Cricetulus griseus: one gene and its partners. The protein of the gene in region 3 purifies or fractionates together with the protein of the main gene of each other region. This does not show direct contact. Links are inferred from orthologs where the notes say so. Each region holds a gene or a part of one and is shown on either strand. Other genes may lie near its edges.

The links.
Region 1: the proteins of Ppp2r2c (region 3) and Ppp2r1b purify together in Homo sapiens (affinity purification with mass spectrometry; 4 studies listed by BioGRID and IntAct, counting the BioPlex papers as one, with this or other methods). This does not show direct contact. The link is inferred for Cricetulus griseus from reciprocal best matches to the Homo sapiens genes PPP2R2C and PPP2R1B.
Region 2: the proteins of Ppp2r2c (region 3) and Sik2 purify together in Homo sapiens (affinity purification with mass spectrometry; 3 studies listed by BioGRID and IntAct, counting the BioPlex papers as one, with this or other methods). This does not show direct contact. The link is inferred for Cricetulus griseus from reciprocal best matches to the Homo sapiens genes PPP2R2C and SIK2.

Annotation. Positions count from the first base shown.
Region 1 is NC_048597.1:162,629,848-162,637,715, forward strand, and holds part of Ppp2r1b (serine/threonine-protein phosphatase 2A 65 kDa regulatory subunit A beta isoform), read left to right. Parts: intron 1-122; coding exon 123-223; intron 224-3,567; coding exon 3,568-3,800; intron 3,801-4,669; coding exon 4,670-4,817; intron 4,818-7,868. UniProt on the Homo sapiens protein: The PR65 subunit of protein phosphatase 2A serves as a scaffolding molecule to coordinate the assembly of the catalytic subunit and a variable regulatory B subunit.
Region 2 is NC_048597.1:162,680,514-162,688,381, forward strand, and holds part of Sik2 (serine/threonine-protein kinase SIK2), read right to left. Parts: intron 6,473-7,868; coding exon 6,348-6,472; intron 5,949-6,347; coding exon 5,825-5,948; intron 4,633-5,824; coding exon 4,412-4,632; intron 2,790-4,411; coding exon 2,637-2,789; intron 1-2,636. UniProt on the Homo sapiens protein: Serine/threonine-protein kinase that plays a role in many biological processes such as fatty acid oxidation, autophagy, immune response or glucose metabolism.
Region 3 is NW_023276807.1:105,890,363-105,898,230, reverse strand, and holds part of Ppp2r2c (protein phosphatase 2, regulatory subunit B, gamma), read right to left. Parts: coding exon 7,715-7,868; intron 5,747-7,714; coding exon 5,634-5,746; intron 3,202-5,633; coding exon 3,024-3,201; intron 1-3,023. UniProt on the Homo sapiens protein: The B regulatory subunit might modulate substrate selectivity and catalytic activity, and might also direct the localization of the catalytic enzyme to a particular subcellular compartment.

The DNA.
Region 1 (7,868 bases), on a different chromosome or scaffold from region 3:
ATGAAGACTTCTGATTTAGACAAGGAAGACAATACTATTTAGAATTGTAGTTGCAGCAGCTGTGTAAGTACTAGCTTAGTGGCACTTGTCTCTATGGGCTAACCAACTGCTGTTATTTTCAGATACAATTTATGATGAAGATGAGGTGCTGTTAGCTCTTGCTGAGCAGCTGGGAAATTTCACTGGTTTGGTGGGAGGTCCTGACTTTGCCCACTGTCTGCTGGTGAGTACTTACCTATGGCCTACCCTTCTGGAACTCTGTAGGATTAACCACATTTATTATCTGGTGATAGGCACACTGCAGCATTTTTTTTTTTTTTATAGTATTTTTTTATTTAATTTTTTACATTCCAATCCCATTCCCCCTCCCTTCTCTCCTCTCCCCGCCACCTCCCATCTTCTCCTTGGAGAGGGTAAGGTATCTCCTAGGAAGTCTACTAAGTCTGTCCCATCATCTTGTTGAGGTAGGACCAAGGTACCTCTCCACCCGACACACCCTGTGTCTAGGCTGGGCAAGGTATCTCTCCATATAGAATGGGCTCCACTAAGTCAGTTTGTGCATTAGTGTTAGGTCTTGGACCCACTGTCAGTGGCCTCATATATTGTCCCAGTCACACCATTGCCACCTATATTAAGGTGGTCTAGTTGGGTCTTATGCAGATCCCCCATTTGTTAGATCAGAATCAGTGATCTCTCACTAGCTCAGAGCAGTTGATTCTATGGGCTTCCCCATCATGGTCTTGACTCCCTTTGTTCATATTATGGCTTTGATTATACTCCAGGAGCTTGGCCTAATGGTTAGTTTTGGATTTCTGCATCTGCTACACTGCAACATTTTTTATGTAAGTCTTTTTATGGGCAGGTGGTAATAATGTTGAGTGAATGAATAATGTAGGCACTTTAGCTCAGCTCTTGTTTTTATCAGCTGGATATAAGAACTTGTTTCTGCCTCTGTAGGCTTGTCAGAGATGGGGAGGGAAGGGACTTAATTTTTTTTGTTTGTTTGTTTGTATTTTTGAGACAAGGTTTTGCTATTGTAGTCTTTCCTGGATTGAAACTGTATGTAGACCAGGCTGACTTTGAACTCAGAGATCCTCCTGCCTCTGCTTCTGGAGTACTGAGATTAAAGGTATGCCCCACTATGCAGATGAACTAAGCCTTAAAGGGTGACTAGAAACTGACCAGCTGGACAAGGCAGGACCATCTGTTTTAGGGCTTTAAATATTGAATATATGATGCTGGCTCCCATGATTCCTAGTTCTACTATGAACCATTCTGTAGAACTCCAGACATAGATGGGTAACAGATAAAGTGGAGACTAGTAGAAATCAACAGAGTTATAGATGGGCTGTCTCCAGCTATCCAGTTATACCAGCACAACCTAGAAGATAGCTGTTGTTTTTAGTGGTGCTAGATATTGAAGCCAGGGCCTTTGCATGCTGGGTATGTTCTAGTTCAGTGAGCTGCCGTCCAGAACTAGAAGGCATTCTTAAGTCCTTCATCCTCCCTCACATCTGAGCAGTTTGTCCTGTAGACTCTGCATCTATACCAATCCATATGAAAAACACACTCATGTGCTGAGCTAGTGGCATTATTTTGGGAGTTTGTGGAAACTTTAGGAGGTGGGGTCTAGCTGTGGGAGGTGGGATGTTGGGGGCAGGGTATCTTGCCTCTGTCCTTGGACTCTCTGCTTATCTGCAGTAAGGCAGAGATGTTCTTCTGCCACACTTTATTACTGCCATGTTGTTCTGCCGAGGCTCATGGGGCCAGGCAACCATGAAATGAACCCTTGAAACTGTGAACCAGAATAAGTTCTTTGTTTCTGTTAGCTATTTTGGGTCACAGCAATGAAAAACTCATAGCATATACACTGTTCCTCTTGGTAATTCATTCCACACATTGGTTTTTCTGTTCATTGTAAACCCAGCTCATATTGCCTTAAGACATCGGCTGTAGGTGTCATCTCTAGAGAGATGCTATTTAGAGTTTCTGTTGCTGACTCCTCGTAAGTCAGACAGCTGCATTTTATATGAGAGGCCTTCCCTGACCACCATTGGAGTAGCCACTTGCTCACCCCCTTGCCCTTCACCTGTTTTCATCTGATTCCACCATTAGAATGTAGAGTCCTTTAGAGCGAGGCATCTAGTGTGCTCATCCCTTCTGTATCCTCAGTGCTGCAACATAACTGCATTCATTACAGAAAGAATGAGTCTCATAGGCTTACAACCGTGACACTTGCTGGGTTCAAAGCTGCTAATGTATAAAATGCAAGCAGCAGTGGTCATCAGAGCCCTGAAATTGGAAAATGGGCAGAGTTGAAGCGCAGGTACCTCTCACAAGCCAGTGTAGCAGTGTGAGGCTATGTCACAGTAGGCAGGGGACAGATGGTGACAGACTGACTAGTAAGAAGCGGTGTCTTTTCAGTGGGTCTTTGATATCCCCTGTAGGAGAGCATAGAGCTGTCTATATTTTTGAACCATATTAGGCAGGCACACTCCTTCCCTAAGTCCTGACCTTCACTCTTGGTCAGTGCTGCTGTGGAGTTTGTTCTAGTCTCTGCATCGGTACCTTATGCTGAATTTACTGGGATCAAATGCAAAGTTAGAAAGGCAGCTGGATGTTCAGAGAGGCAGCCCTTCTCCATGTCTACCAGGCCATGTCACATTCAGTTCCTGACAAGGGCCAGACCTGGAACCTCTCCTATCTTTTTATGTCTCTATAGCTGTAAGATCTCCCCCATCTCTGCATTTATTATTTGACTGTTCTGTCTGAAACTCCTATTTGGCTCTTAGAAAGATTCTTAATGTATTTTGAAAACAAACAAACAAACAAAAAAAACTTGGTGTTGCTGGGTGGTGATAGTGCACACCTTTAATCCCAGCACTTGGCAGGCAGAGGCAGGTGGATCTCTGAGTTTAAGACCAGTCTGGTCTACAACAGCTAGTTCCAGGACAGGCTCCAAAGCTACATAGGGAAACCCTGTGTTGACCCCCCCTCCGGCCCCCCCCCCCAAAAAAAGAAGAAAAACAAAATAAAACAAAACAAAAAAACCACCAAAACCTGGTGCTGACTCAGCTTTTTATTGGTTGCTTTAATTGATGCCATTGAGGTTTCATGGACAGGATTGCTTGCACCTCCAAGAATGGTAGGGTGATGCACAAAAGTATGGACTCAGTAGCCTGACCAGAAATTACCATGCACTTGTGTTACCCACAGTTGGCCATAGTTTTGGACCTGTTCCTGTCTGAATGTGGCTGCATATCATTTAAACTTCAGCTCCTAATAATAGTGATACTGTGTCAAGTCTCTTCCACTGTGTCATTTGTAGACACCATCTGGGGATTGCCATCTGGGACATGCAATCTTGGCTTTTCTACAGAAGTCGTGTCTTCAGGTTGGCCACACCATATGTTATCACTGTGTGAACTGAAAGTAACCATTTGGTATGATGTAGTTAACATTCTGGTTCCATGTACCGTTTCCCTTCAGTCATGTAAAAGGTGTCAATCTGTGTCTAACCTGATTTAATAAGTTGTCATCTCTGCTTTCCCTTTTTGATCTCTGCAGCCTCCTTTGGAAAGCTTGGCTACTGTGGAGGAGACTGTTGTTCGAGACAAGGCTGTGGAGTCCCTGAGGCAGATCTCTCAGGAGCACACTCCCGTTGCACTCGAAGCTCATTTTGTACCTCTGGTGAAACGCCTAGCAAGTGGGGATTGGTTCACCTCTCGCACATCTGCATGTGGTTTGTTCAGCGTTTGCTACCCCAGAGCTTCAAATGCTGTCAAGGCCGAAATTCGACAGTAAGAGCCAGTATTTTTTAGTGTGTGGGATTACTAGGGACTCACAGCCAGAGTTTACACAGTGCCCTGTTCCCATTATTGTTTCATACTAGGCAGGCAAGATTGGTGATACTCTTTCTTTCTTTCTTTCTTTCTTTCTTTCTTTCTTTCTTTCTTTCTTTCTCTCTCTCTTTCTTCCTTTCTTCCTTTCTTTTTAAAATAATTTTATTTCTTTTTATTTTCTGTGCATTGGTGTTTTGCCTGCGTGTATGTCTGTGTGAGGATGTCAGATCTGGGAGCTATAGACAGGTGTCAGCTGTCATGTGGATCCTGGGAATTGAACCTGATTCCTCTGGAAGAACACTCAGTGCTCTTAACCTCTGAGCCATCTCTCTAGCCCCTGGTGATGCTTTTTCATGTAGTTGAATATACTGAGGGCTCTCTCTCTCTCTGTGTGTGTGTGTGTGTGTGTGTGTGTGTGTGTGTGTGTGTTTCATGTGGCAACCTCTGGTGTTGGTCTTCAGGTACCTTCCTCATTTTCTTTGAGACAAGGTTTCTCATTGGCCTGGAACGTCACCACATATGCTAGCTTACCTGGCCTTCGAGCTTTCTGGGACCTGTCCATCTCTATCTCCCATCTTGCCACCTCTGAGGTTATTTTACTGCCATTGCACTCAGCTATTTGTGTAGGTCCTGGGGACTCTGAGTGGGCTTCACTTGGGAGGCAGGCACTTTCCTGATTGAGCTATTTTCCTGGTCCTTTCTTTATATCTGTGAGTAGAAACCTAATCATTGATGTTTGAAAGGGAAATGCTCTAAATGGCCATCTCTTGTTATTGGGGCATGCTTAACCAAGTGTTTGACAGGAAATACCTTATTTCATGCTGCAGGCACTTCCGTTCCCTGTGCTCAGATGACACACCAATGGTGCGACGTGCTGCTGCTTCCAAATTGGGCGAATTTGCAAAAGTTTTGGAATTAGACAGTGTGAAAACTGAAATTGTACCATTGTTCACGAATCTAGCTTCAGATGAACAGGTAACTCAAGGCTTTAGATTTAGGAGATACAGATATGCTCTTTAATAATTTTTAAAGAAACCATTTATTTGGGGAGTTTTGACTCTAATGTAGAGTCCTTTTGTAAAGTTAATACTCAGTTCTAGCTTGGTGTCCATCCTCCTGTGTTTCTTTCTTAACCAGGCCCCATTTTCTTTACATTAGTAGGTGTTAGGAGGAGGAGTCAGAGATGAATTGGGTTCCATAACTAGGAATCTCAGGGCTGCATCAGGGACGGGTATCTTTCAGATTCGTGAGCTGTATTGTGATATGGAGGTGAAGTGTTTCCTGGAAACCTGACTTCGTTAATTTCTACACTAGTGTATGGCATTACTATACACAATAGCAATCTTAGATCTAAGGGTCTTGGTTTCTTTGGTGTAGAAACGATAAAAATCAGCAACCCCTAAATTACTTAATACAGTTGTTTTCAGTTTGGATGGTGGAGATGGTTGCAGGGTCATCTGGATCTCAGTTTCCATATATAAAATGGTGTGGTATTTGCCACTGCTTGTATACATCCTCTTGTGTACTTACTCTAAGTCACCTTCAGGCTACTTGGCAATACCTAATCAACATAAAGTAGGGCTGGAGAGATGCTTGCCCAAGCCTGGGGACCTGTGTCTGGTTCCCAGAACCCATACAAAGCTGGACATGGTGGCATGCATCTGCAATCCCAGAACTCCTATGGTGAGGTGGGAGGCAGAGAACAGGAGGATCACCCTGAAAATCATGGGCCAGCCAGTCTGGGGTGCACAGTGCAGCTCAGCAAGGTGGAAGGCAAGAACCAAATCCTGAAAGTTGCCCTCTGACCTCCACATATGTGCTGTGGTGTGTGTGTACCTACACACTCTCACAAACAATAAATAAAAAATCCACAGTGTAAATGATCTGTAAATAGTTGTTATACTACTTACTTGAGGGAATGATGACGGGAAAACAGTCTGTATATATTTACTACAGACAAAGAAAATTTCCCAAATATTTTGATCCTTGGTTGGCTGACTCCATTGATGTGGGGAAACCATGGACACAGACTGACTGTTATCTACCAGCCTGTTTTAAGTAGCTGCATGTATTATGGAATTAGGTTCTCCTAACAGCCCATGGCATAGATACTCAAGGAAATGGAGGTCCAGCTAGTTTATGAAGCTTGTTCAAGGCTGTATTTAGCTAATTGTGGTGCAGTTGGGGTTTGAATGTATGTGGGCTTCAGCTCCAAATTTCTAAGTCTTATAATTTGAACACTGGCAACATTTCAAGCATGCAGATGCCACACATACATGGTGGTTTCCATGTTGGAGCAGGGCAAGCTTAGCATCCTTATTTGGAATTTAGCTGGTTATACTTCCCATGGCATAATTTGATATTTTCTTTTATCTTCTATACTTCCTGCAAAGTAGTAGACTAGGGGTTTGCAGATTTTCTGGTGAAGGACAGCCAGGAAATATTTTCAGTTCTGTGGATCATATATCCCTGTTGTAATTGTTGTGGCTGAAGCAGCCACAGAGTATGGAAACCAATGGACATGAAACTCACCAATTTATAGGTGGGGCAGGCTGTTAGCATTTGTTCCTCCAAAAAATATTGAATGCTTTGTTAGGAAATATGTATACACTATGCCTTCTGTGACAACTGGTAGATCCGCTCATGGCTTACTCATTAACAGAAACATTTATTGAGTGGCTACATAGAGTACCTACATATGTGAGGCACAGTTCTAGTGTTAAGGACATACAGGGACCCTGCTTTCATGGAACTTGCATTTTAATGAAGAAAAATGAACATGATAAAAATCAGTCGTAAATGTCATGGAAATAGTGTAACAGAACACTGACCGTCAGTCAGCAGAATGCTCTGAAGAAGTGACAGCTGAGAGAAAATGCCGTCTCCGCTCCTTCGAGGAGCGTAAGAGCCCTGTAAAGAGAGGGCATGAAATAGGAAAACACCAGCATTGGAGCATGGTGGTTGGATGAGTCCAGTAAGCGGGAGAGTGGAGAAGGGAGCGGTGGGAGCATCGGTAGCCCACAGCAGACTCCAGTTTTGGAGTTTTTTTCTTTAGACGCAGTGAGACTCTACCTATATCTGGGGAAGAGGTGTGCCGTGTAGTATACATTTTTGAAAGGTCATTCTGGCTTGTGGGTGGAAACAAAGTTGTAGGAAGTATAAAAATAGAAAGAGAAGGCCAGTTAGGTGATATTGATAAACCAGGCAAGAGATGAGGGTGCTTGTGTGCTATGTTGGATTTGTGTGTGTGCTTGCGTCAACACACACACTCACATGCACTCTATTGTATTTGTGTGTGTGTGTGTGTGTGTGTGTGTGTGTGTGTGTGTGTGTGTGTGTTCTGTTGTATTACGTATGCGGTGAATTTCTTGCTCCATTTCTCTTGGGTATTCATAGGGTTTTATTTTTGATCTTCCCAGATCAAAGTCCGAAGTCATAACTCCTGATGTCAAATTGAGTCTTAATTCTGTGTTTTCTCTTACTCAGAAGACATTCTTGTGTACCATTTGGCATTGAGCAACTCTATATATGGAAAAGCAGGTTGTCAACTTGCCTTTCCAGTTTTCCTCTGCTGTTTTACTAGACATGGTTATCTCTCTTTGAGTTTCAGCATTTCAGTTTGACTCTGTTATTTGGCTATTAACTTTTCACTCTTTTTGTGTCTTCCTTTGTACATTCCGTCTCATGCTACTGTTATGGCCAATGAGTAGTTGGAAGTAGCTTTCAAAGTGATCTTCCTTGTCCTTTAAACTCTTAAGTACATTATTAATTAACTTCTTGTAATAAGGCTTTGAATATAGCATTAAATTAAAAATCAATCTTTATATTTTGTGGCCACTCAGATGTCCTAGTGGTAAAGCGTTTTTGCCTGATGTCAGTGCTCAGAACCACGGGAAGGTGGCAGATCTGCCTCCAGGAGGTTGTCCTCTGACTTCACACACATTCACTTGCAATAAGTAAGATTTTAGCAAGTCCTTTTCATTTTATTTAATAAAAACCTGGCTGCAGTTAAGATAATTTGAACCA
Region 2 (7,868 bases), on a different chromosome or scaffold from region 3:
CTCTCTCTTTATTTTTTGAGACAGGGTTACTCTGTGTAGCTTTGGAGCCTATCCTGGCACTCGCTCTGGAGACCAGGCTGGCCTCAAACTCACAGAAATCCACCTACCTCTGCCTCCCGAGTGCTGGGATTAAAGGCAAGTGCCACCAATGCCCTGCAGTCTACTTGCTTTTTAAAAGAAAATTCAAACAAGGAAGCTCGCCAGGTAGTGGCGCACATCTTGGATCCCAGCACCAGGGAGGAAAACACAGGTGGATCTCTGTGAGTTTAGAGGCCAATCTGGTCTACAGAGTGAGTTCCAGGACAGCCAGAGGTAGACAGAGAAACTCTGTCTCTAAAAACCCAAAATAAAATAAATAAAATAAACAAAACAAGGAAGCTCTATTAAAAACTTTGGGCAAATCAGTTTTTTGTTTTTTTGGACAAGACCCACTAAAACAGAGGGCAGGAAGCATTTCTTCAGCTGTGGGACCTCCTTCTTAGGGTTCAGAAGGCATTTTCAACAAGTTAGTAGGTGAGTTGAGACGCTGTATTTTAGAGGTAGACATGTGAAGTCATAGTATGCAGTTTGATGCTGACTTGGGCCAGTGCACACAATGAAAAGAACTCATGGTGTGCTTGGCAGTAAAAACTTAAGTTACCAACAAAAGAAGCCATGTACATTATACACCTGTACCCCAAGCCAAATTAAACACAATTTGAGATATCTGAGGGATTTGCTTACCATGCAGACAGGGAAGGATCTTGTACAGCAACACGTGCTGGTGCTTGGGAACAACTGTTGATGTAACCCTTCACCACTCTCACTTGTGGAATATTTAAGAAGAATAAAGAAACTTAGTCGAGAAAGTATGTTACTACACTAGTGGCATCCTGTTTCCTCTCCTTTTGTCTAGCCATACTTGTATGTAGGAAGGACTTCACTATAGCTCACTATTATCAATACAGCTTAGGAGTTTTTTTTTCCCTTCCTCTCTTGCTCAAAAGCAATGCTATTCAATGCTGAAGGTGTCAACATGCTCAGAAATACTGTAATACAAATATCTGGAGCTATACTGATACAGTATTCCCTCACAATTGTATTGACACATTATTTTATTTATAAGATATTTAAGAAAAATATATAATTCACCTGTTAGAAATCAAGAATTTTCATTCCCTCATTTTTTCATGTTCTATAGAAGCCAATGAAAAAATCTTTCTATATCCCTGTACATTTATAATTCTGTTTAACATGGAGTGCTACTTACAGATGAGGCAGGCATCTTAATGGGAAGAAACCATTCCTTTCCCAGCCGCTCCACACAAGTCCTAGACCTCTCTCAGACCACATCACTCTCCTAGCATTGAGCTATGTGCTCACTGTGTCTTTAGGCCTTTGAGGAGAATGTTGCCTCTAACTCTGTTGTGGAACAGATACTCAGCATGTGCTATGTGCTAGGTACTGTTTACAGGCTTCACAGATATCAACTCATCTTGTCACAGCACTTAGTGTCATTCCCATTTTAGGACAGGTCAAGTGAGGCACAGAATCTGGGAATCGCTCTGGCACCCCTGCCTCTAATCACTAAGTGGAGCTGCGTTTCCCATCAGTGTTAAACTCACACAGGTCTAGCTGTCTGAGCCCTTCCTCCCTTTCTACCAGCACTACATCAAGTCTTCAGCATTCTGCATCTCAATTAGTGTAAGAATCTCAGAGGCATTCTTCAAAAATTTCTGCGCTTCCTAGGCTAGGCAGGGTGGCACACACCTTTAATCCCAGTACAGGCAAGTGGATGTCTGGGAGTTGGAGACCAACCTGGTCTATATAACAAGTTCCAGGCCAGCCAGTGAGATCCTGCCCCCTGTCCCCAGCTCTTCCCTAACCAAGCCATCCTTTCTAATGCTCCCATACTAACTGGCTTATGGTCTTCGTAAGATTGTTATTGCTTCCTCAATTATAAGTCATCCTTGGCATTAGGAAGCTCTTCACAATACTGCTTCCAATTACCATTCCAAATTTTTATTTTCTTAGACTTCAGCTCAAATGGACTGAATTAGTAGGAACAGGGCCTACAGGCCATGTGAGCACTTTTATTCATTTTGTGTGCATCACCTTCCTAGTCATGTCTTTGGTATTGAATGTTGCTTTCACAGTCTCATACCTCCATGAAGAGCTGTTTTAAATGTCATCTTTCCCATGAAGCTCTTCCTATTCAAATAAGCCTCTCTCCCTTGCCCTCAGCTCTTCAATAGCACCCATATTCCTGTCCTAGAGAATGATTCTGGCCTTCTCTTATTGCTTCTAGACTACAGCTTTGAGAACCATGATGGTGTTCCATGCATTCAAACTCCTAGAGTACCTAACAACAGCAGCCTGCACATGGTCAATGTGCAACATAATTCTGTTAAATGAACTGAAAGTACAGGCTAGTTACATTAATTCTCAAGATTAGCAAATGATTAAGTGATTAAAAGACAAAAAAAAAAATTAAAGTTAATCCCTAAAAGCAGGAAGGTGCTAAAAGTTTTGAGACTCTAGTGAGTGACGGTGGCTGAAACCCAGGAAAACACTGTAGAAGATGAGATACTAACCTTTTGTACCAAACATAAAAAAGCACATGCATAGATGAGACTGGTGGCTCTATGGGCCGTTACCTTGGCAACTGTTTGTTCCGCAATGGTGCTAGGCCTGCGCTGGCGGCCATCAAGTCTCTGCTCCACAGGAAAACTGCTCCTGTGTGATTTCAGACGTTCCACCAACAAGAAATAAATGGCAGCAAAGTGATTATAGCTCTTGTTTTGCAAAGACTGAAAGAAAAAACAAGTGCTGAAGGTAGAGAACGATAAAAACCAACTAAGAGATCTATACTTCTTTAAAGGGGAGGGTAAGGTAAGTGTTCTGCAAATAAAAATCACAAAACCTCCCTTTTCCATTCCCCCGGCTTCTAAGAAGGGAGTAATAGCCTCTGCCATGTGCCCCTGCTGCCATGATGTTCAAAGGTACATGTGGAGATATTTCGTTTGTGTCTTAACAAATAAAGCTGTACAGGAACAAGTGAGCCCTCTGAGATCCACGCACATGAATTTCCATAATAATTTTGGCTTGAGATTTTAGATCTGTATTTTCACTCACTCAATTTTAGATACCAAGGTACTTAGTACTAAGTAAGGCTGGCCAGCACCCTGTGCTCCAAAGTTCTAACTCTGAAGCTTCAGGCAAACCAAGTTCAATTCTGAAAACTCTGACGTGAATGAACAAAGCCTTTGCAGAGCTTTCTGGTGGTTATTTTGGGCTGGACAATGACATCTGGATGGTAGATGGAGAGACACTGTGTCTGTGTTCTTAGGTAATATTTTCCTCTTGTTTCTGCAGTCCCACCCTTTGAAAACCTTGAATAAAAACTTACTTCCCAAATTTTTCACATTGCTAGTCTGCCAGCTTTCCTGGGACGCCAGTGCAATAGAGAAACAACTTCTTTTTTGGCTTCTAATACCACCTGACAATCCATATGGGTGCTGTATGGGGTAACAGGAAACCCTCAGGAAAAACAAAAAACTCACAGACCAGAGGGACCCACAGAAGCCCAGAATCTATTCCATGGAAAACATCACTGAGTGCACAAAGCACAGAGTGAGACAGCAAGTTTGGTTTTGCTCACAGCCACAATAGGAGATAAGAAACAGTCTCTATAAAGGCACTGCTCTGCTTTGGTGGGGCTGCTATTGTGCAGGCACTGTGTATGTTCTATATGCATGCTAACTGTTAGATAGAAAAAAAAGCCAAGAGGAAATTTCCAGGTTCAAATCTTTCTTCATTCTATAACCATTAATATTTCCAAACCACAACTTCACTTGGTTTTGCCTGTTTAGTTTCTCTGGGTCTCCTAACCCTCCACTGGCTTGCTTTAATGTGATGCTTTTCTGTTGGCTCTTGGCTCAGTCCTTAGTCTTGTTCCATATATGTACATTTATAGTTCATACAAACTGGTTTTATACCATTATCAAACTTCATTTCACTTTCAAAGAAACCTTGTATTCGTTGGTGATAGGGTCTCACTATATAACTCTGACTATCCTTGAACCCACAGATATCTACTTGCCTCACAGTGTTGGGATTAAAGGTGTGTATTACCACCATGCCCAGCCTCTATCTTGTATATTTAAGCCCCAGTCTTAGCCTTTTTTGAATCCTCTGAAAATTATTTCCTTGGGCTTCTTGGCAGAGAGGGTGAAGGAAGGAGATTATTAGAGATTGAATAACAGCAACTGTAAATAGAGCCTGATGTCATCATCAGGGAACCCTGAGCAGTACACCCAGGCATTGGAGAGTATGTGCTAAAAGACCAGAATGACAGGTGTGAGCATGGAAATTTAAGGGACAAACACAGAAGAACCCTAAAATATCTCCAGACACATCTCCATCACTTTACCTCAATAGTCTTCTGCTGATCAATTCCAAGGCTGTGCATCAATCGCAGAACCTGTTCATTAAATTCTCCGATAGACGCCTCATTTTCTTGTTCTTGTGGATAGAGAATAGGTCTTTGTACAGGAACTTCTATGAGCATCCACTTATGCTCCTTGATTTGAGCTATGCTTAGCCGTTTGGAAGGATCGAGGACCAACATCCTTCTAATAAGGTGTTCACAATCTGTGGAAAAAAAAACCATAAAAAGTCACATAGATCACCTTCAGACATACTTACATGGCCCATACTTACTTTGCACAACATTTATTATATCTGTATCCTTCACTGCAGGACAAATGAGCAAATGAATGCATGAAGGGTGACTGGTCAAGTTCAGATGCTGAACAAACACTTAGGAAACACAAGTGAGTATAAGCCTACCTGTGTGCTGAAAAAGCCTTTCTGGTGCGTTTTATCTAGCCACACTTAGATTTCAACAAAGGAAAAATAATTCTAAGCTTCATTCTCAGAACAAGAACTGATCCTTGGTCCTACTCAGGAATGTTCAGTAAAGCCAGCTGGGAGAGCATCATGCTTGTTCCAGTGAGCGGCAGCTTTTCTCATCAGTGCTGCCAAGGACCATGTATGCAGCTCTGCTTCTGATGACACTATGTACACTGCAGCTGCAGCTCCGAGTGACAGCAAGCTCTTCACCACTCTCTTCCAACTCAGCCTCCTGCCACTCACATCTATCAGACACTGTGCTAAGTGCTTTGTGCAGAGTAATTTCTTCATCCTTATGTCACCTCAAGGGCAGGAATTATTGTTAACTCCGCTTTACAGATGAGCCAAAACTGCAGGGCCAGTGAATAGTTAACTCAGGATTCCAACCAGGTAGTCTGTCTCCAGAGCCTGTATGACCTTGCCTTCCCCAGTGCATTAATTATGTCTACTGTTTGCAGGAATAAGAGATAAGGGTGAAAACTGAAGACACAACTAAGGAGTCATCAAACTGTCGTCGATATGACAGCCTAAAACAAGACAAGTAGGGACTGTGGCATTTCAATTGAATTTATCAGAGTTCCACCAGTTGACTTTGAATTTAAGACTTTTAATTTTGCAAATCTATTTCATACATAGAGTAAAATGATTGTAAGCCAGCATCTATGGAGTCTAAAATAAACCGGGACATTTATAGACCCAAGCTGAATGGAAAGACTTGCTGCTCTTAATCTGGGTAGCTTCTGTTCTCAGTTACAAGGAGGAAGGTTGGAACTTGTCTCGTCTACATGGAGGGTGTTGCAGAGCTCCATGGCTTTTAAAATGACTTAGTCATTTTATCTGGTACCCAAACTCTCAGCAGGGAAATTTTGGCTAGGACTTCATACAGCACAAATTCCGTAATGCACAGCCAATATGTGGAACAGCTCGTTACCTTCTGACATGAAATATGGAATCCGGAATCTTCCTTCCAAAACCCTCTGCCTCAAAATAGGGAGAGTTGGTCCATCAAAAGGCAGAGCTCCACAGACAAGGACATAAAGAACAACTCCCATGCTCTAGGGAAGAAAACAACGCAGTCACTTTCAGGGAGAACTTCAACACGCTGATTTTCCAAAACCCGCCACAGCTCCTAAAACTACATGGATTGATGGGTTCCTGTCCAAAATTCCCATCTTACTTCTGTGGTGAGAGTTAGGCATAAATACCAAATGATCTGAATTTGATCATTTTGCTCACCACATCACTTCAAATCGTTGTTGATATTAGGATGGTGACACTTGTCCCCAGAAGTTCTTTCCTAGGGATCCATCTCCAGATGTTCTGACTAATTACAGTCCACTGGATGGGGAGACTATGAAATCTTATCCATGTGTTGAATATCAGGAGCTTCTAAGATAGGTCAGAGTACCAATTATTATGATAGATACATTTAACATATCAAAGCAAAGCAGTACCCATATGTCCAGCTGTGGTCCTTCATATTGCTGCCCTTCAAAGACTTCTGGGGCTGCATAAGGGGGGCTGCCACACCATGTTGCAAGAAGTTCACCAGTTTTAAAGAAATTTCCAAAACCGAAATCTGTTGGGATGGAAATAAATGTTACTTTCATTTCTGCTCCCAATCTACACTGCATTTCTCAATAATCAATTTTGTAATGTGAGACCACAAAGATGAGGGTGACATCTATCTTGTAGTATTTCCCTATAATTACCACAGTGATAAGCTAATAATCAATAATGAACATTGCTGAATAAATGCATATGCAAATTGAGTTCTCCACTAAAACAGAACATGTGAGAGATAGAAGATGACTTTAAACCATGGTCTTTGTTGTTGTTTTGACACAGGATCTCACTGTGTGCCCTGGGCTGGCTTTGAACTCATCATTTTCCTGCCTTGCAATTCTTAAACCATGCCTTTCTTTTTTTGTTCTATTTGTGTGGACAACCACTGTGAATTTGACTACTATAGAATGTAAGTTACTTGATGATTACTAATGGACTTTTCATTCTGTATAGTCTATAAGAGGTAAATGAGTAAAACCCAACTAAGTAGCAACATATACCAGCTTTTGAGGCAACTGAGAATTTTTAACAACTCTTTAAACGTTGATCCATACATCCTACTATAGGCAGATACACATCTGAATATCTTGTTAACAAATGATAGCATATGGCCTGGCCACAAGCCACCCATCACCACTATCACTTATATGCTCATTTCTGGAATGCAGTGGCATTATACTTCAAAACAATTGTAAGCCTTTCCCCTTATAATCTTAGTCACAGTGACACTACAGTTTTGATACCCAGAATGCACTCTGCAAACACTCTACTCAATGCCTTCCATATGCACATGCATACAAGTTTTCAGTGTCTTTTATCATAGATGGATGTTTACCCTTTTGATAAGACTCAAGAAACAAATTCCAACTGTTGTACAAGTTAGGACCACAATCTCTTGTGCTTTGAGTCTTGAAAGTGAGAGGCTCTGGCTTTCTACTAGTATGTGCAAAGCATTGCACGCACAGGGAGCCTAAGCAAAGACTCAAAAAAAGTGGATCCAGTCTCCACTGCCAGCCAGACTGGCTTTAGGGCCAGAGACAGTGCCTGTGAACCTTAGTTTCCCTTCCTGTAAAGCTGCAATAATAAACATGCCCAGATGGCAGCTGTCATGAGGATTTGACCAATGTGCTAACATAAACTCCTGCTTTGTTTGTGCCTTGAGACAATACACATTTGGAAAAAATATTCTTTCAGCCTGCAGACATAAGAACAGGTAAGCATCAGACACAGTAATTACTGTAACCATGTCATAGCTGCTTCATGGAAGAGAATAATAACTACAAAGTTAGGGAGAACTAGAAGTGACTTAAGAGTTTGTCTCTTTCTAACCCTAGTGTCCTAGGAAAGGTATTTTACATCTCTGAAGCTTAGGTTTCCAAATCTATGCCAGTGAGAATTACTGACCTGCC
Region 3 (7,868 bases):
AAAAGAATTTTTTTCTCTCTCTAAATTTTCTCCAGCAGATGACCTGGCTGCAAACAAGAACTGAGGGCACTCAAGGCACAGCATGCCAAACCCTAGACCCAGTTCCTGGCTGCCACAGCACAATGCTGAAGGTGAGTGGGTGAAGCCTCAGGCACCTAGTTCTCAGAGTTTTGGAACCTAGAACTCCACTGCTAAGGTAAAGACATGGCAGGAGTCCCCCAAGGCCTATTGCTAGCATTGCCACAGGTTTACCTGCTCTGTTCCCCATGTCCTTACCTAGTCTTTGCTGGCCCATCCTTGTGTCAGTGACCTTATAGCCACTTCAGCTAAGGACACCAGTCACCGTGGGCCTCTGTGACTCAATTTGAAGCTAACAACCCCTGAACACACTGACTGCAGATCAGCCTCATCTTGAGATTCTGGACAGAAATGATGGTCACAGTGCAGTGTCAGCCACATCTCAAGTCCCTGAAAAGATCTTTCTGACTGGGAAGGTGTCTTTGTGTGGAAAGACCTCCTCTGTGAACCAGTTTTTTAAAACTCTGTCCTCTGGATGAAACACTGCAAGTGCTGGTATCTCAGGACATGGGGTGATTTAAACAGGCTGAGTGAGGCTGAGGGAAAACTTACAGGAAGGAACAGAGGCATGGGCATACTAGCTGGCCTGCTTCCAGGCCCCTGAGGAGAACTTGGCTTTGCTCATTCCACCTTCCTGGAAGCTGATGGCCCTGAGAAGAAGCCAAAGGAGAGTCCACGCACCAGACCCTGGGGCACAACCTGACTTCCAGCTCCTTAGGGTCTGGTGTTTGAGTCACCTTGGTCTCAAACAGGCAGGAGAGTGGCTGCCCTAGACCTGCATGCAAGCGGTGGCTTATGCACTGTAAGTCATTTGCCTGCTCTGTTTAGAAATGCTCACAGTACCTCTGCACTGGGCTGTGGAGTGCCAGGGACACAGGAAGGTCTCATCCTGGGTTCCAAGACAAAAACTGTGTGGGCAGAGGGGCAGTCAAAGGAATCCCTGTGCAGCTAAAATTCAAAGGAAATGGGGCCCAGGAGGAGACCTGTCAGCCCAGAAGGGACACGGCAAGGACAGATGGGACTGGGCCATGGAACTGTGGGCAGAGGCTTATAGGCAAAAGGATCATGGGGCCAAGAGTAAGAGGGGAATAAGCAGAGGGTGGAACATGGCCCTATGGGTCCCTGAAGGACAGACAAATCTTGAGAGTTGGGGGAGAGGATGAGGGAAGTGTTACCAAGGAACACCAGCCACCACTGATGAGCCCAGAGCAGTCTCAGGAGCCAAAGGGACCACTGAGAACTTTGAGCAGAGGCTGACAGAAAGGAATGCAAGACCCTGGTCCAGACTCAGTCCAGCTCTCTGCACTCAGCATCACCTCCAACCCTGACCTCAGCTTCCTCCCCAGAATGGATGAGCCAGGATCCTCCAGGTCTCTCTCTCTCTCTCTCTCTCTCTCTCTCTCTCTCTCTCTCTCTCTCTCTCTCTCTCTCTCACACACACACACACACACACACACACACACACACATGCATACACGTACATCCCTCAGAGGGTATCACATAAGCTCAAAGCCATCCCAGCTCAGCATGAGGTCACACATACCTCTCTCCATGCCAGAAGGGAGACATCTCCAATTACTCAGCTGCCATCAGATCCGTGGAAACACCTGCAGCCCAGAGTCCAGACCCTTTTCTGCTAAGAGAGGCTCACCTCCAGGGAATAAGCCCAGAGCTCTGTTCCAGGTGTCTGACTCTCATCACTCTGTGGCCTGGTACCAGCAGGCCACAGTGGGGCAACATGGCTCCCTGATTAACCTGGCAGTCAGACAGGAGGCTGCTTCAAATCCTAGTTTTCCCTAAGCCACATCCGGGTCTTCAGCACCTGACACATACCCCTTCCTGCATTGAACAAGTCAGGCACCTCTCGTCACCAGCTTACCAGGCACTTTCACAAAACTGGAGCCACACACAAGTTGGACACAGTGTGTCCACAACAGCCATATTAGTTCCCTAGTTCCACGAGTCCACTGACATGTTCCCCTTTCCACTCGAGTTCCCACAAGGCCCGCCAGTCCACTGACATGCTCCCCCTTCTACTCTGCTGGTGAATGCTGTGCTCTTCAACATGGATGAGCATAACTCCTGTATTCTAGATGGGAAAAGGAAGTCAGTGACACGGGGACAAACAAGTCTTGGTGCTGGAGTAATCAACTCTCTTTCCTCATATACAACTATCTTGTTCTAATGTCCTGTGGCCACCTAGGTCCAAAGACAGTTACAACACAGCCCAAATTGAAGAAGTCAACATTCTTTACTGTCTCCATTACATCATCGCTATGCCATTCCCTGCCCCTCACTCCCTCTCAGTAGATACTTGTCATCTAATGAGCTCAGACTCAATGACTCAGGTCCCTTACTGCAAAGGGGCTGGTGACTATCCTATTGTGTGAAAGCTCAGTACATGAAACATCACTTAGTATGGCTGGCATTAATAGTCCACACAACAGTGACATGGTAGCAACCTGCCCTTTCTGGATTGGCCCTGACCTTCCCCAGCTTGGTGCAGGCTACACTCACACATCCTATAGGTGGTCCTCTCCTTAGCAGGCTGGAGGAGGGGCAGTGCTCAGTCCTTAGCTTGTTCTGACACCAGGATCCCATTTCTGGCTAGCTTCTGACACCCATATCTCTGATACCCCAGTTGTTACTCTATATCCAGAGAGACACAACACCGGACATGTTGCCTCTAGCTCTCTTGACCTTTCATGGCTCCTATGGGGACCAAGGTGATGGAGACCATTGCCACCCTAAGGAGGCATGGGGTGTGATGGAGCTTCTCAGCAGCTGTGTCTTTTAAGTGTTCATAAATACTGTGGTCCTACACCTGGCCCCCTTCACACCCTAGATGGGACCACAGTAAGGAAGCTGCCAAAACTAAAGCCCGGAAGCCAGTGTGCTTATATACCACCCTGAAGCCACTTCCCAGCAGGTCAAGCCAAGGATACTGAAGCTCCTATCAGTGATGGCCAGATGCCAGAGGTTGATGCGTAGGTCATCTGCTGACATGTATGTCTCACAGTCGCTGTTGACTGAGATGGAGTTGATGTGATAGGTGTGGCCATTGGCAAAGATCCTCCTCGGGCTCACCTCCACCATCAGGTCCATGGGCTTCAGGACAGGGACCTGCAGAGCAGAGACAGTCAGAGTCACAAGGGAAGGGGCCGGAGAAGTCACAGGACACACAATCTTTTTTTTCCCCCAAGACAGGGTTTCTCTGTGTAGCCTTGGCTGTTCTGGAATTCGCTCTGTAGACCAGGCTGGCCTCAAACTCATAGAAATCCTCCTGCTTCTGCCTCTCAAGTGCTGGGATTAAAGGATTACTGCCTGGCAGAGAACACACGATCTTAATGGGAAGCTGCAACACTCATTCAGGAGCAGGGTGTGAAATAAGCAAGCGGTCGTGTGTGAGATCAATGGTCAGAGATACCAAATGTCCTTCACCTGCCCTGCTAGCGCAGCATGCTCTACATGGCTGTTTAACTGTGAGGTTTTCAAAGCCTCCTGGCCTGTATAAGGGGCTCAGGAATAAACCTGCCCACCTTGCATGAACTGATGATGAGAAACAAGATCAAACATGGGATAGGTTATTAACTGGTAATTTATTAAGAAGGGATACTCACACAAGGAACCAATAACCAGATTTGGCACTCTGAGAAGTCCAGTCCCAGATGCCTCCAAGACCTAGCCTGAACACCCCCGAGAGATGAGGAGCGCCTCTTCCTCGCTCTTTATCCTACCCCTCTAGGTACCTGTGACCATACCCAAATGGGCATGGTCAGCAGTACAGGTATCCAGGGTCTCTCCCTATAAACTGAAGTGCCCAGCACACACACACACACACACACACACACACACACACACACACACACACACACACACGCTTCTCTCTCTTGTTCTTTTTATAATTTATGTGTATGAGCATTTTGACTGATGTATGCATGCACACTATGTGGTGTGCCTGGTACCCAAAGAGGTCAGAAGAGGGCATCAAATCCCTTAGGACTGGAGTTACAGACAGCTATAAGCTGCCATGTAGGTGGTGGGAGTCAAGAACAGCAAGTGCTCTTAATCACTGAGCAAGCACTCCAGCCACCAAAACTCTTTCTTGCAAGTTCCACACTCTGCTGGAGGATGCAAGTCCTTGTGTCTTTTAATTAAGCAGGACAAACGTCAACTTTGCCACAACTCTACAGCACCACATTCTGTCCTTCACTGCACCAAAGAAGACCAGCCCAACTCCCTCCACACTATAATACCCAGGATGAGCTCAACTCAGTAACTACAGAGCAAGTGTGGCTATACTCTGGGCCTCAGTTTTTCCTTTCTGTAATGGGAATTTTCTGACTTGCTTTCCCTCTCAACTGCAGTTGAAGAGCCCTTCACAGACACAGCCCACCACACCATGCCAGGAGAGAAGCATACAGGGTGTCTGCTGTGTAGTGGATTAAAATTTTTCATCTTGGGGAGAATTTTGAAGATATAGGATGTAAAAAGGAAGTGAAACAATGGGATATTTTAGGACAGGATGTTTACAAGGAGGTGAAACAGCAGGATGGTCTAAGGTAGCAGTTCTCACCTGTGGGCTGAAACACCTCTGGGGGTCGAAAGGCCCTTTCACAGGGGTCGCATAGCAGATACCCTGTATTGCAAATATTTACATTATGATTCATAACAGTAGCAAAATTACTGTTATGAAGTAGCAATGAAAATAATTTTATGGTTGGAGGTCACTAGAACCTGAGGAACTGTACTAAAGGGTCATGGCATTAGGAAGGTTGAGAACCACCTAATAAGGGGAGGTGAGATACTTCATCTTTTAGGGAAGCTCCTTTTGGACAGTAGATAAACAACTCAAAGTAGCTTCAGGAAGTTCCTGAAGCTGACCGGGTTCACTAAGTCCCTCCCTTTCTGGAATATATAAGCAATAAAGACTGCAAAGATCTATTCCCCAACAAGCTGCTCAGAAAGAAGCAGAGACCAGCGACCTGATCAGCCAAGCCGCCTGATTAAGACTCAGACCAGCTGAGCCACCTGGAAAGGACTTGCCAACCTGTCGAGTTGGCTGCAGGTTGTGCAGTGTGCTCCAGGTTCCCAACTTTTGTGAGGTGTTATCATGCTGGGGTGGGCTTTGGCGACGTAGCTGCTTACCACTCATTTCAGCTTCTATAAGTAACCCCAATAAAATTCAATGGTTTGGCCAGGCATGGTGGTGCACACCTTTAACCCCAGCACTTGGCAGACAGAGGTAGGCATATCTATGTGAGTTTGAAGCCAGCCTGGTCTACAGAGAGAGTTCCATGACAGCCAGAGCTTGTTACACAGAGAAACCCTGTCTCAAAACACCAAAAGACAAAAATAAATAAAAACCCAACTCATTGGCTCACAAATGAATGGACTTGGCAGTATCTTGATCTGTCATTGGTTCCCCATCCACGATGAGTAGATGTTCCTTCATCACCTCAGGAATCATGTCACAACAGTGTGGCCCTGACCCTGGCTCTGAGAGTCCTAAACATCTAATGGCTTGGTAGAACGTAAATGTGGAACATGCTCACCTGCAATGACGTCACTGTGGACAGGTCTTTTAGTTTCCCCTCCTCATCCTTCAGGTTGTAGCCCTCGGGCCTCTTGTCTCGTTCGGTGATCTTCCATAATTTAATCGTTTTATCTTTAAGAAAAGAATGGGGAAGAAAAAGGCACCCTGTCACAGCCAGGTCAGTACAAGAACGCTTGCTTCAGCCAGAGAGACAGTGATGTCATTCCATGCCCCTGTTCTTACATAGTCAGGTTCTCCCTCACAATGCCTTACACAGAATACCTCTGCATGTGGGCAATCTGTCCTCACACCATCTTTCCTGGTCACTGGCAGGGGATGTTGCTATGTCAAAGGTCCTTGCAGGGATCACTACTGACCTCCACACTGGGTCTCTACCATTGTTCCTTCCTGAGAAAAGGGTGGCCTATCTGCCATTCCTAACTCGGTGGCACCTGCCACCCAGAAGCCAGGTCCAGGGTGTCTCTTCTCTGCACTCCTCTCTTGGATGTCACAGGAGGAAGCATAGGCTAAGCCATGGATACTGTTCAAAACCATATTGGCTGTTGCTCTGAAGGATGTCTCAGGTATAATTAAAACTTAAATCCATCAAGCAGATAACCTGCCATCAGGAGATGATGGACCTTGTTTATTGCCAAAGACCCTGACAGAACAGAAGCCCACCTCCCTGGGAAGAAGGGACTCTCAGCAGACACCCTCCAGGCTTAAGCTGTGTGCTTCTGGCCTCACAATCCCTCTCCATTTCCCCCTTTTCCTCTCTCCTTTCTCTGTCCCTCCCCCACAGATCTGGCTTCTCCAGAGAACACTGATAACCTCAGCAGTCAAAAGAAACAACACTGTGAGCATGGGAAGGAGCTGGATGGAAAACTGATTTCAGATGGGGCCCTCAATAGGGGTCTTCAGTATTCTGTAAATTGGGGTATAATGCTGGTCTAGAAGTTTCGTGGGACTAAGAAGTATGTGACTCCCATGGCTGGTCTTCCTTCCAGAATGGCAGGGAGTTATTTGTAAAGCTACACATGCTTGGGCACACACACAAGCTAAGTGTCATGTTAACATGCTCCTGGAACCATGTGACTATCCATCTACTCCCACACCGGATAAAGACCCCGGAATACAGGTAGGTGTCCTGAGCTGATCCCAGCCAGGGCTCCAGGAGGCCAGCTAGAGCCCATCCTCTCGAAGCCTGGCAGAGATACACAACTAGAACAACAAGTGTCCTTTCAAGAGAGGGTCAGGCAGAGGTGAGACGTCAAGGCAGACTTCATGAGGCAATATCCAGTGGATGGAGAGGGGATGAAGGAAGTCACCATGAGAGCTTGTGGGGGCAGGCAGATAAAGGCTGAGTCATTCTCAGGAAGCCCTTGAGGCCCCCTCAGCAGTAGGACTTCTTCAGGAAAGGCACAGTGATGCCATCTTCCCAGCCTCCCTCAGGCTCACACAGCATTTACTATTCTCTGAGCACCAGGTAGATACCATATCTCCTCACAACCCCAGAAGGAGCTGAGTCAACCCCTGGGCAGTGGGCAAACTGTAGCTAAGGAAAGTAAGGCCACACGCCCCAGTCCACAAGGCAGGCCTGGACCCACATCTGCCCCAGCAGACTCCTGGCCCTGGCTCATGGGCTAAGGAGGGATAGTGGGGCAAGCATGGAACTGGATGGCTGCTCCGGGTCCAGCAAAAGCTGGGAGGCCCAGACCCAATCTGGGGGTAGCAGGCAGATCTGGCATGTAGCAACAGCTTTCTGAGGTCACACAGCATGCCCTTAAGTGGAGAGACAAAGGCCAGCCACCTGTCTATCCTACTCACCCCTGGGAACAGCCAGAGTCTGGGTGATTTGTGACTCTGAGTAAGAGTGCAGTTTGTATCTAGTAATCCCTGGTTTCTGGCCCTGGTCCCAGTTGTTTGGAATAGTCAACCTCATCTCTACCTTGGAAATATCCATGGCCACTGTATTCACAATGGGGGAAGATTTGTGATCAGCCAGGGAAAGCTGAAGAGAATGGTCTGATTGTCACTAAAGCCACAGAGAAAACTGGAAGCCCAAGTGAGGTCAGGCCAGCCATAGCCTTTGGGACTCACCATTGGTAGACAGCAGCGAGTGTGCGGCATTCTGCTGTGGGAGCCATTTGATCTTGTTTATTTTCTCCTCTATTTCCAAGCTCTTCAGGTAGTCAAACTCTGGCTCGTGGCTCTGGAAGGTGCTGTACACATCGTACTCACCCTGGCTATGAGG